3 linked regions of the Rattus norvegicus genome follow. The protein of the gene in region 2 binds, or shares a complex with, the protein of the main gene of each other region. Links are inferred from orthologs where the notes say so. Each region holds a gene or a part of one and is shown on either strand. Other genes may lie near its edges.

Region 1 (3,649 bases), on a different chromosome or scaffold from region 2:
CAACCAGATTATTATAATCCTTCAGAAAATATCAAGACAATCATGATAGCCTAATGCTGACATCAATTCTCTAGCAAGGCAGAGGCCATGGTGAGCACACAGCTTCCTCCTTAGGCCCGTAAATAAAGCCTTTTGGAGCACATCCAGGCCCAATCCAGCATTGTCAGGAGCTGACAACAGAATCCCTTTCAGTCCCTAAACCATTGAGTAGGCAAGTAACAGACCTACCATTACATTGCTCTCCAGCATCTGCAGCCCTGGGGTACCATTGCCCTGCAACAGGGTGTGGACCACATCTTCCAGCTTGTTCTCCTCCTCAGCAGGAATGCAATACCTGGGGTGTTGGAAACACGAGAGCCCCTTGGTGAGTCCTCTGTGGAGCAGCTGGGCTGGAGAGCTGGCTGGCCCAGTGCCCTGCCCTGCTGCTGTTGGCTGCTTCTGCCCAGCACACAGCCAAGCCACAGGCACAGCCTTCTACACACTACTCACTTTCCATCTGCCCCACAGAGTGAGCCAAAAGTCCAAACCAAAACCAGATAGTGAAGTCCTCTATAAATCAGAAACAGACACAACTGCACGCTCCCTCATCCTGGGTGAGTTCTGATGCTGCCAAGAATGGCCTAGTTCTCAAGTATAGGAACAAGATTTGATGCTGTTCATGATGGGAAAACATAGTACCTAGAGGTCCTACTACTACGAACCTACTTACTGGTCAGGGGGACACACCAACCACATAACCAGCCAAAGCCGCAACTGTTAGAAAAGTGGGGATGTCCTCAAAGACTTGGGGACTTTTGCTGTCTCTACTGATGTCAGAACCCAGCCTCTGTTAGAACGACACTCAAGAGACAGAGGGTAGAAGCCTACATGGGAGAGCTGTGGGTCTGTGACAGACAGACAGACAGACAGCACCTTATGAAGACAGGAAGGAGGCTAGAGTGGGAGAAAAAGCTGGAAATGTGGTGATTTAGTCAAGGGGACAATCTAGATAGACCTCACTCACTCATGACATTCTCTCGATACCTCAGGTAGCCTGCCACCAAAAAAGTATCAACTACAGCACATGACTATCTGGGTTACTTTACATGGTTAGAGCAACAGTCTGGTGAAGGACAGCCTACTTGTGACTGACAGAGAGCCAGGCACCGGGCAGGGCCAGCAGTCTAAATGGGCAAATGGTTGTCACATACACTGGGGTCTTAAAAGGACCTGAGGCTGCTGAAGCCAGAGCCCCTTATCAATACTGTGATCACGGGAACAAAGACAAAGCTGCCAGGCCCCCTTACTCAGTTCCATACCTACACAGCACCTTATATAAGCTTGGCAAACAACAGCTCCAATATTCAGCCATGTATCATGCAATTTATCTCTGTGGCAAATCTTGGTTTCAGAAGGTACCAGGCACATTTTACCCAAATATTTATATCAAAGCCAATATGTACCACTACTGACTCGTGACTGAAATAGCAAGTAAAAACCAATCATATCTCTGGCTCTGCTTTCTTTTATGTCATTATGACCCCAGGGATAGGACTCATCCACACACTCTCAAGTTTCAACTCCTCCAACGACACATTCAAGCTACAAAAACAAACCTGCATTCACACTCACTGGACAATTTTATGTCATTCTGACACAAGCTAAGTCATCGGAGAAAAGGGAACCTCAAGAAAATGCCCCTATAAGATCCAGCTGTAGGCAAGTCTACAAGAAATTTTAATAATTACTGATTAATGGGGGAGGGCCCAACCCATTGTAGGTCAGGCTACCCCTATAAGAAGAAAGAAGAATGACCAAGCCAGTAAGCAATACCTCTCCACAGCCTCTACATCAGCTCCAGCCTCTGGGTTCCAGTTTTCGTTTGAGGTCCTGTCCTGACTTCCTTTGCTGACGGACAGTGATATAGAAGCATCAGACAAATAAAATAACTCCTTTCTTTCCTCCTCGGCTTGCTTTTGGAACTGTAGGGGAATCCTCACAGCAATGGAAACCCTGCTTATAACGCTCACATCTTCACATGCCTGGCCACAGGTCAGTGCCAACCACCAGAGCATCTGCACGAGGCAGGAACTTGACCATGTCACAAGAACATGTGTGGCACATTCCACAGCTGCCATCTGCCTTTGCCTCACGACCACTGTGATCTGGTTCCACATGGCAGCCTACACCACAGCCTCAGCCCAGCAGGTCCCTCCCACTGTATCTCCTGAGCTCACACTCAGCACACAGCACTCCATCAGGTCATGAGCAGACTACACCACAGTAGCAGGCTGCTGCCACATGGGCTCCTGGGGAAATGTCATTTGAAGATTCTATTTAAGAAAGAATATTTCATCATCCCTCTGGGCCAATAAGCAGAGTTAAGGTAGAGGACCATGAGATCGGCAGGCTGCGAGACTATGAGATGATAGGACATCCTATGATATGCAGTCAACCCCCATCTGCAGCTGTCAACACAGAAACCAGAGAGCTCAGCCATGAGTAGAGGTCCAACAAAGAGAAGATACTGTGTCACACACCTCATGAGGACAGTTTCTGACCAGCATCACATGGGTACACTAGCTCTGGAGGTCTTGCAAACAAAGGCCCACTCAGGTAAAGCCACCCAGACCAGTCTCCCCCATGGCGCTGTTTATGAGTGCTGTTATGAAATCACTGTAAGAACTCCATAAAATATAATGGGTGGGGGGAGGGGTGAGAATGCAGAGTAAGCAGGCAATTCACCAGACAGCAGCCTCTAACATGAGAAGCACTAGTGAAAGCCCAGTCACTGGCTAGGGATAAAACACATCTCTTCTCCCTACAGGAGCATTGCCCCTCACAGCTCCCTGAGGCTGCTGTACCTGCTGCTGGGCGTACTCACCAAATGCAGTCAGCACCAGTGTGTAAGTAGTCGATATATGGAAGGTGATTTTGGTCTCGAGACCAGCATGAGGTAGAAAAGACCATGCCAATATTTAGCCAGGGAATAGTCACTCCTACAACATAAAGAGAGGTCATTTAGAGCAACAGTCCTTCAGAGTGACAGCAATTATGAGGGATTCTGCCTCTCCCAGATATAACGCAGTAAGAGAAAGCTGCCTGCTCTTCCCCACTTGCAACAGATGGTCTTATATTCGGGCTGAGTATTTGTGGACACTTAAGTGGAGAATGAGTGTGCAAAGTTCCAGGGGAAGAGAGGCCTGGCTTAAGGGCTGCTGCCCACAGTGAGCAAGGTGGGATCTATGGTTCCTAGACAGGGGAGGGGGGGGTGTGTCTCTCAGGCTTCCCTTTCCAGGCCCAATGAATTCATAACAAGCAGAACCCCCATGGGGTGGCTTTGCCTAAATCAGAAGCAGCTTTCACTTCTCAGAACACCTATGGTGGCTGCTAGCAAAACCAGCCTTTAGGAGTCAGAATTCAGACTGGAAAGCTGTGTCCATACACTGAACGAGACTCCTCAGCCACGTGGGCATCCTCCAAAAGTCAAAAGGTCAATGCTTGTACTCGGTGCCCAAGGCCCCAGGCCTCTCTGTAGTGGGCCAGCCCGGCTTTGTCCTCATGAAAGCTGGAAGACAAGTGTGAGGTTTAATAAGGTCATGCTTACCAGGCACAGCACCAAGGTGACGCAGGATGGACCCTGTGTTATTGGGGAGAACAGTGAGGTTCC
Region 2 (4,335 bases):
TGGAATACAAAAACTTCCATCTATTACCCTGGGGCAATAGTAGTCCCTAAATCCATTCCAGAGGAACCATTTTGTCTAACAGCTGTTAGAGCGAAAGCCCATGAAGTCTGCACTGCTTTTGTGATCTTAAGTTACGGCTTCCTAAAGTTGGTTTTGTATTACAAAAAATAAATAGGTTAAAAATAAATAGACGTGTCAAAAGATATTTAAAAGCCACTAATTCATTTAGAAAACATTAGTTCTTTTTCAAACTTCACCTTGGTCAAAAATAAAATGTCTTTTAAGAAAATACAATATTCTAGAACATAACACCAAATAGATATGAAGCTAGTCATAGTGTCTCACTCCTACAATCCCAGTACTTGGAATGCTGAGGCAGGGGAATAGCCATGAGTTTGAGGCCAGCCTATGAGACTCCGAAACAAAAAACCAACCAACAAAAAAACCAAGGAATGAAGTACCTGACACAAAGCAGGTGACTAACAAGTGACTGAACTGCAATTTGATGTAAATGTACAATTAGCTTTTAATGGAAATTTAAACTGTGCTTAAATTGGACTCCTAAATTGAAATCATTTTCAGCCAGGCATCTGTTTCCCCAGCAATTGGGAGGCAGAGGCAGAAGGATCTTAGCCAGCATGGGAATAACAGGATCCTGATTTAAAAAAAGAAAAATCACATTTATCTGTTTCTTCTTATATGCAAAAAGTTCAGATTTTGGATTTTCCAGTTAAAAGTCTATCTTGTATCACAATTGTTGTGGGTCGTGAAAAATCAGCCTATCACTTCTATCAATCAGAACCTGCAATTTACTGTGTTAATACATATATTACTCCATCTAAATGGGGAACCAGTTGCTGTGCCTCGAATCTTTGATACAACATTTAGTGGGCAGGGGCATGCTGATCTCTGAATTCCAGGCTAGCCAAGAGTACAAAGTGAGACCCTGTCACAAAACTTAAAAAATAAAATAAAATAAAATACAACAGGGGGGAAGTACATCTTTTGATGAGAACAGAACCTGGGGCCTCCTATATGTCAGGCATGTGCTTTACAAATGAGCTTTTATGCCTCTGGCCTTTTTAAAAAGTTAAATATATTTTAAAGTTTTACACTTGGTCTGGTTTGTAATCTTATATGCTTCATCTATATATCCACAGTATTCTGCAGGACATGGTGGTGAACGAATGTATTCTAGGTACTGAGAGTAAAGTAAGAAGGTTATCAGGTGTGAGGGTGGGCCTGTGTTGCACTGGGAGATTCTAACTCAAACAAACAAACAAGAACCCTTTCATTCTGAGAGGACCCCAAAGGGTTCAATAATCTGTCAAAGACACACATACCAAAACGTTCAGTCTTGCCCCTTTTAGAAGGGACCAAAGCTAACCCAATCATTCGGTCTCAGAAAGCTTTAGAAACCATCAAAAAATGTACTTTAGGAGTCTAGGAAAATAAAATGAACTTCCATTTAATTTTTTTCCCCTGACAAATTTCCTCATTATAAATAAATTTGACATTTTCATTAAATTCTGAGTAATTATGCGAAAGGCCAAAGCCTACCCTATCATAATATAAGTAATTATTAGAACACGTGTCTAGTACTTTTCACAACGCTTGCATATTATTTTTTACGGGGCAGCATTTCTCTAAGCACTATGACTTCACTTAATCTTCACACTTGGCTCAAATACAGACTTTACCACAGTGGCCTGAAATCTCCCAATCCCTTTACATTAAGCAAAAACTTTCAAATTGTTCCCTCACTTGCCTTAATCAAAGGTGGCTCCCCCTCCACTATCTTCTCGATCCTGCTCCTACTACAGAAAAGTCGACACTAAGGACCACAACACCGCACTTCCACGGAAAAGGGCACACATAACCACACGGTCACATAAACTCAAGCCAGAGATCTATATACTTTCCATCCTTAAGATTCCGTAGTGCTTTACAGTGACACAACCCCTCAAATCCTTAGGAGGACCCCTCCTACCAACTTTTCTGGGAAAACGGAATCTCTTACCTCCAGCATGCCTTTTAAACTAGTACAATCTCAGATTCGCAATCACCGTCAAGTCCCCCAAAGGAACAAACTCCCTCTCCCACGCAGGGATGATCTGAGCGGACCTCGCAGACCTTCAGGACCTTTAATCCGCTCCTCGCCAACTTTCTGCTTGCTATCAGTCGCAGTTCCACCTCGAATGCCCCAGACAAACTGGATTTCCCCGCACGCCTGCGTTCTCCCAAGCGCGGGGTGACACCTTTCCCTCCCCCCACGGCAGCCCGCCCGCCCCGACCGCAGTTACCAAAGAACCTGAAACTTCTACTCCACAGTCCCGGACAGGCGGGGCTGCACTCACATTCTCGTCTCCCGAGAGGTCCGGGTTGCTGTTCTCGTCGCTGCTCAACTTCTGCTTCTTGGCCGCCGGCATGTCTGTTCCCGCCGGCGCAGTCGACACTTCCCTCTCAGACATATTCCTCCGCCTCCCTCCAGGTTCTTGCCGCCTCGGGCGGGGCCTCCGCCACACCGCCGTCAAGCACGCCCGGCCGGAGCCTGCCGCAAAGCTGCCGGCACCGCCACCGCCGCCGCTCCCCCCACTGTCGCAAATCGCGCCCAGCCGCCGAGGCGGGCGTGCGTGCGACCCCGCCACACTGCTGAAAAAGGGGCGCGCGCGCGCGCGCCCTCCCGTACGGCTTCCTGGCTGCTTCCCGTCCCCTGGTCCCGGCGGGCGGTTTTCCCGCCGCCCTCTCGGCACTTTGCACCGAGGCGTCGGACCTGCTGGCTCAGAGGGCAGGGTTTCCTAGTCCCCCTTCCCCACCAGCGCCTAGAGAGGAGGCGGAACTCAAAGGGCTGCTCCCTCACCCCCTTCCTTGCCCAGACGTTTCGTCCGCAATTGGCTCAAACCTTCGATCTCCGACCCGCTGCAAACGAGCGAAAGTCTGTGGCCTGGATCAGACCACCACTGCCCCAGAGGGAGGGGGGAGAAACGAGAAGTCACCTCTTGTTTTAGGTGTCCGTGTCTAGAGTCCCTGATGCGGGGTTTGGAAGAACAACCGAGAGATAGTGTTCACGGAACGCATAACCTAGACTCTTTCTTGAAGGTAGAGATTTAAAATCTATAGGCAGTTTTCTGCTCGCCTCCCCCATCTGGCAAATGGAAGGTTCCAATCTGGAGGTGCGCATGCGCTGAGGCGTATTCTCGCGCTGGGTTACGGAGACCGTCCTCCTCTGGCCCCTCCTCTTCTCCGTTCTTATTTGCTGAACCAGGTAGTCCTTCCACCGGTTTCTGAAACCTTGGGGAGAATTTCAAAACCGTACCAAATCAGTGCCTACGGACACGCCTACGTTCTGGGCAGATGTTTTATCTAATAAATACTTAGTACAACGAGTGGTTATATTCAACCGGTTGGTGCCACTATTGGCTTAAGTAAACCTATATTTTAAATTACATTTTTAGATTTAAGTAAAAATACTTTGTGATGCATGATACATTCCAGTAATCCAACATCTGAAAGGCAACAACAGAGGTACTGCCCGATCGCCTCAATCTTTAGATCATCCCGGTCTGCAAAAGAAAGTCCGAGCCAATCAAAGGCTATCTTATTAAAAACCTGTTTGAGAAAAGTCTTAAACTTGTATGGATCAAACAGGGTATGGGGTCGCGTGCCTTTTATTCCAGCACTAGGGTGGCAAAGGTAGGTGGATTTCAGTGTGTTAGAGGGCAGTTTGGTCTACACAAGTAGTTCTGGTTCAGCCTGGGCTTCATTATAGACCCTTGTTTCCAAAAATAAGTAAAAATTACATGGTTCTGAATTGCCATGATTTATATTCGAAATGTTTTTAGCTGTTGAAAACTGAGGCTCTAGGAAACTGACAAGACCTATAAATCATTGTGAGCAACTGCTTGAGTTTGTGAGACTTAGGTAAAAGGCATATATATATATACATATATATATATATATACATACACATATATATATACACATATATATATGTGTGTGTGTGTGTGTGTAAGTAAATTGTTAGTTGAGTGACTGTATTTGCCTGTATCATATTAAAATTCTTTAATTTTTCACTTGTAGATTTTTTTTTAATGTATATGAAGAGTGTTTCACTTGTATGTCTGTCTGTGCCTCACATTTGTGCCTGGTATACAAAGTCAGAAGAGGATGTTGGATCCCTGGGACTAGAGTTACTAACAGCTGTAAGCCACCCTGTGGGTCCTCTAAAAGAGAGTAGCCAGTGATCTTAACCACTGAGCCATCTCACTAGCCCCCTCAGGTACAATCTTGATAGACAAGTAACAAATTTGTGAGCCTTGTGGATTTATTTGGTGG
Region 3 (2,874 bases), on a different chromosome or scaffold from region 2:
CAGTTCCAACAGTCACTCTGCATCCTTCCCAACCACCTCACCTATAATCAAAGAAGAGCTCTTCGCCAGCCTGAATTGCTCTCTTGGCAAAGATCCCAATGCGGTGATCTCCATTCACCATGACCACTGCAGAGAGGAGAGGACAAGCCTAGGCTAGCTTCCAAGCCTTCCTACTTAGTGACAGGGCAAGCCTGCATTCAGAATACTGGGCTGGTTTCTCCAAATTCCCAAGAGGATCAAATGGAAATAGAATGTAGTCAAGAAGGCAGGCACTTATCTCTCTGCTTTTGACTCTGCTATTCCAACAGTGAGTTTGGGGAAATGGTGACCTTTTGAATCATGGTTATAAGAATGCGTTTTTACTGTAGTCAGTGGAAAACGCCAAGTAAGAAAGGAGAGGCCTAAAATGATGGCAGCCAGGCCACCAAGAATCTCCTTGGAAAATGGTTAACACAGCCTTGAAAGTTGAATGACAGCTAAACATCACAGGCTGTGAGGAGTTCACTCAGCCCGCCCGCTCCCTAGGCTCTGAAGACTCACTCACCTTTGGCATAACAGTTGGGGTTCACTGAATGGTTTGCAAAGCGAATTTTGTTTCCTTTCCGGGTAGCATCCACTACAAAATCTACATGACATAAATCAAAGAAAATCATGAGTGTCCCAGGAATCTCTATACTTGGGGAGTGAGGGGGGTGTATACAAGGTCTAGCTCTGTGGCCCAGGATGGCCTAGAACTTACTGTAACCCTCATGCCTTAGCCTCCCCAGTGCTACGATCACATGTATGTACCACTGTGATCAAAACAGGCAAAAATATGCCTGTTTTTGTTTGTTGTTGAAGACAGGATCCCCTGTGTCTCAGGCTGGCCTCACATCTGTGGTAGTTCTCTTGTTGTAGCCTGCAAATGCTGGGATTAGACATGAAAAATGTGCCTAGTTTCAACCCCCCACTTCTTTAGTTCTAGTTTAGATCAGTTAAGTGGTAACAGAAACAATGTAGTCTAATGGGAGTGTGAAGCCCAGAATAGTTAAAGGAGATGGGAAAAGCAGAGCCTGCCTCCTCAGGTGGGGGCATCCCCTGTGGGTCCTCCGTCTGAATTTTAGACCTCCTCCCATCTACTGGTTGGGGTAGCATCTCAAGTGGAAGTGTCCACTGTTCCCACTCCAAGCAGAACTCAGAAATGAAGCATATCCAATGAGGCCTCAGAGCTCAGCTTAGCATTCTGTTAGAAAAATCTGTTGACAGACTCAGTGTGGTTTAAACCTGGATCACAGCAAAGGTTGCTTAGTGTAAAGACTTGCACATGATCACCCTGGTACAGAAGGCCATGCCATACCATTGTTGAGGTTGAAGAGGAAGCTGGACATATATTTATCATAGACCTTCCCTCGTCGATCAGCCTCATCCTGAGAGATGAGCTGGAGGAGCAAACAAGGAAGAAGAGGGTGTCATGCCCGCTCGAGGTATGACACTGTAGGAACCGGGAAGGGGCAGTGCTGGAGAGCAAGACCCTGCTAGCCCCATCCCTACCCAGAGCTGATCAGGGTGAAGGCTAGAGAGAGTCAGACACCAACACTTGACAAACAGTGGTTTGTTTCAGGATTGCAAACAGTTCTGTGGGATTCCCTGTGAGGCCACATGAAAACTGGGCTGAGTTATTTAGAGACTAATTAATTCACAGAAGCCTCAGCCACAGAAAGTCAGAGAGTTTCTTGTCAGTATCTTCCCAGTAAGAACACGGGCTCAACCTGGAACACTCACCTCACCACAGTATTCAGAAATGAATTCGTTCTTCTGCACAGACTCCTTGATGAAGGTGCCCCATCCGGCCACATCGGAAGGGGCCAGCAGCAGGTGCTGGGGGAGAGGGAGGCAAGCCTTAGATGGCAGGCGGGTTGAGTGGGTGTGGGTACTTTATGTGCACGTGTGTGATGGGGGCAGGTGGAAAGAATTACCAACTGTCAGGGGAACCTGAAAACAGAAAAGGTCCAAACCATTTCACGCTTGAGGGGGTAAGAAAAACTGGAAATGGTAAGGAAATAGGATACTTTCTTCCTCTTCCTTGGGGACCTCTGGGGCTGAGTCTGGGCTACACTGTAATGTAGGCAGTAGCACGGGCTACACTGGGCCTGAAGGCAGAGGCTGGAGGTAAAGGGCTCGTCTCCCATGTGTAGAGACCTGGACTTCAATCCAACACCAAAGGGGAACAGAATGGTGCGTACTCCTTTGCTCCGTTTCGTAGAATGGAAAATTAGATTAATTCGACCACTGGCAAAATCTGTCAAGCACTTTTACATACAACCCCTCCGAGGAGCCAAAGGAACAACGACATCTGGGGACATTTCTTCTTTCCCACTATGATCTTGACCCAAGAAAAGACCTCACCTTTTTGAGGCCACGCTGGATGCTGCAGTTTTTGCAAGACACCACCTTACAGTCCCAGTGCTCTGAGGCCCCGCAGGTGAGGCACAAGTCAGGGTCACACTCACGAACGGCCAAGTAGCAAGGACACTGCTTGGTATTGCACTGAGTCTTACAGCGACAACCAGGGAAGCGGTTCTGGCCTGAGTGAGGAGATGGGGTGGTTAGGAAGCCCGCACTGACACAGGTCAGACTCGGGGACAGCAGAGTAGTGAATGTGACACGGCCAACCAAGGACTCGGCACAACAGGCAGAAGGCTCCTTCTCTTGAACATCTGGCTTTCCCCTTAGACAAGGAAGTGTCTCTTTCAGGGCTCAGGACATGGCTCAGTTGGTAAAGTACTCACCATGTAAACAGGAAGAATTGAATTTGATCCACAGAACCCATATACAAAAATCAGGCATGGGAGCACCTTGTGCTTAGAACCCCAGTGCAGGGAGGGTGCACACAGG

The links.
Region 1: the proteins of Eed (region 2) and Jarid2 are in contact, whole or in part, in a cryo-EM structure (PDB 6C23), measured with the Homo sapiens proteins. The link is inferred for Rattus norvegicus from reciprocal best matches to the Homo sapiens genes EED and JARID2. Residues at the interface, in NP_003788.2 of Homo sapiens: Pro95, Phe97, Tyr148, Arg306, Asn307, Tyr308, Cys324, Asp362, Ile363, Trp364, Tyr365, Arg414, Asp430; in NP_004964.2 of Homo sapiens: Pro109, Gln114, Arg115, Lys116, Phe117.
Region 3: the proteins of Eed (region 2) and Ezh1 are in contact, whole or in part, in a cryo-EM structure (PDB 7KTP), measured with the Homo sapiens proteins. The link is inferred for Rattus norvegicus from reciprocal best matches to the Homo sapiens genes EED and EZH1. Residues at the interface, in NP_003788.2 of Homo sapiens: Cys84, Val85, Asn86, Ser87, Leu88, Lys89, Glu90, Asp91, Trp103, His104, Ser105, Lys106, Glu107, Val112, Arg120, Leu123, Tyr124, Gln129, Gly130, Glu131, Ile132, Arg133, Leu134, Leu135, Gln136, Ser137, Tyr138, Val139, Asp140, Tyr154; in NP_001982.2 of Homo sapiens: Gly37, Ala38, Lys39, Leu41, Tyr42, Val43, Asn45, Phe46, Lys48, Val49, Gln50, Lys52, Thr53, Gln54, Leu56, Asn57, Glu59, Trp60, Leu63, Arg64, Val65, Gln66, Pro67, Val68, Gln69, Ser70, Met71, Cys83, Thr84, Ile85.

The regions. Positions count from the first base shown.
Region 1 is NC_086035.1:19,990,956-19,994,604, forward strand, and holds part of Jarid2 (jumonji and AT-rich interaction domain containing 2), read right to left. Parts: coding exon 3,587-3,649; intron 2,979-3,586; coding exon 2,864-2,978; intron 335-2,863; coding exon 229-334; intron 1-228.
Region 2 is NC_086019.1:153,304,607-153,308,941, forward strand, and holds the start of Eed (polycomb protein EED), read right to left. Parts: upstream 2,895-4,335; 5' UTR 2,472-2,894; coding exon 2,358-2,471; intron 2,309-2,357; exon of another isoform or gene 2,030-2,308; coding exon of another isoform or gene 2,021-2,029; intron 1-2,020. UniProt on the Homo sapiens protein: Polycomb group (PcG) protein. Component of the PRC2/EED-EZH2 complex, which methylates 'Lys-9' and 'Lys-27' of histone H3, leading to transcriptional repression of the affected target gene.
Region 3 is NC_086028.1:86,628,474-86,631,347, forward strand, and holds part of Ezh1 (histone-lysine N-methyltransferase EZH1), read right to left. Parts: intron 2,565-2,874; coding exon 2,386-2,564; intron 1,858-2,385; coding exon 1,762-1,857; intron 1,419-1,761; coding exon 1,337-1,418; intron 626-1,336; coding exon 545-625; intron 127-544; coding exon 42-126; intron 1-41.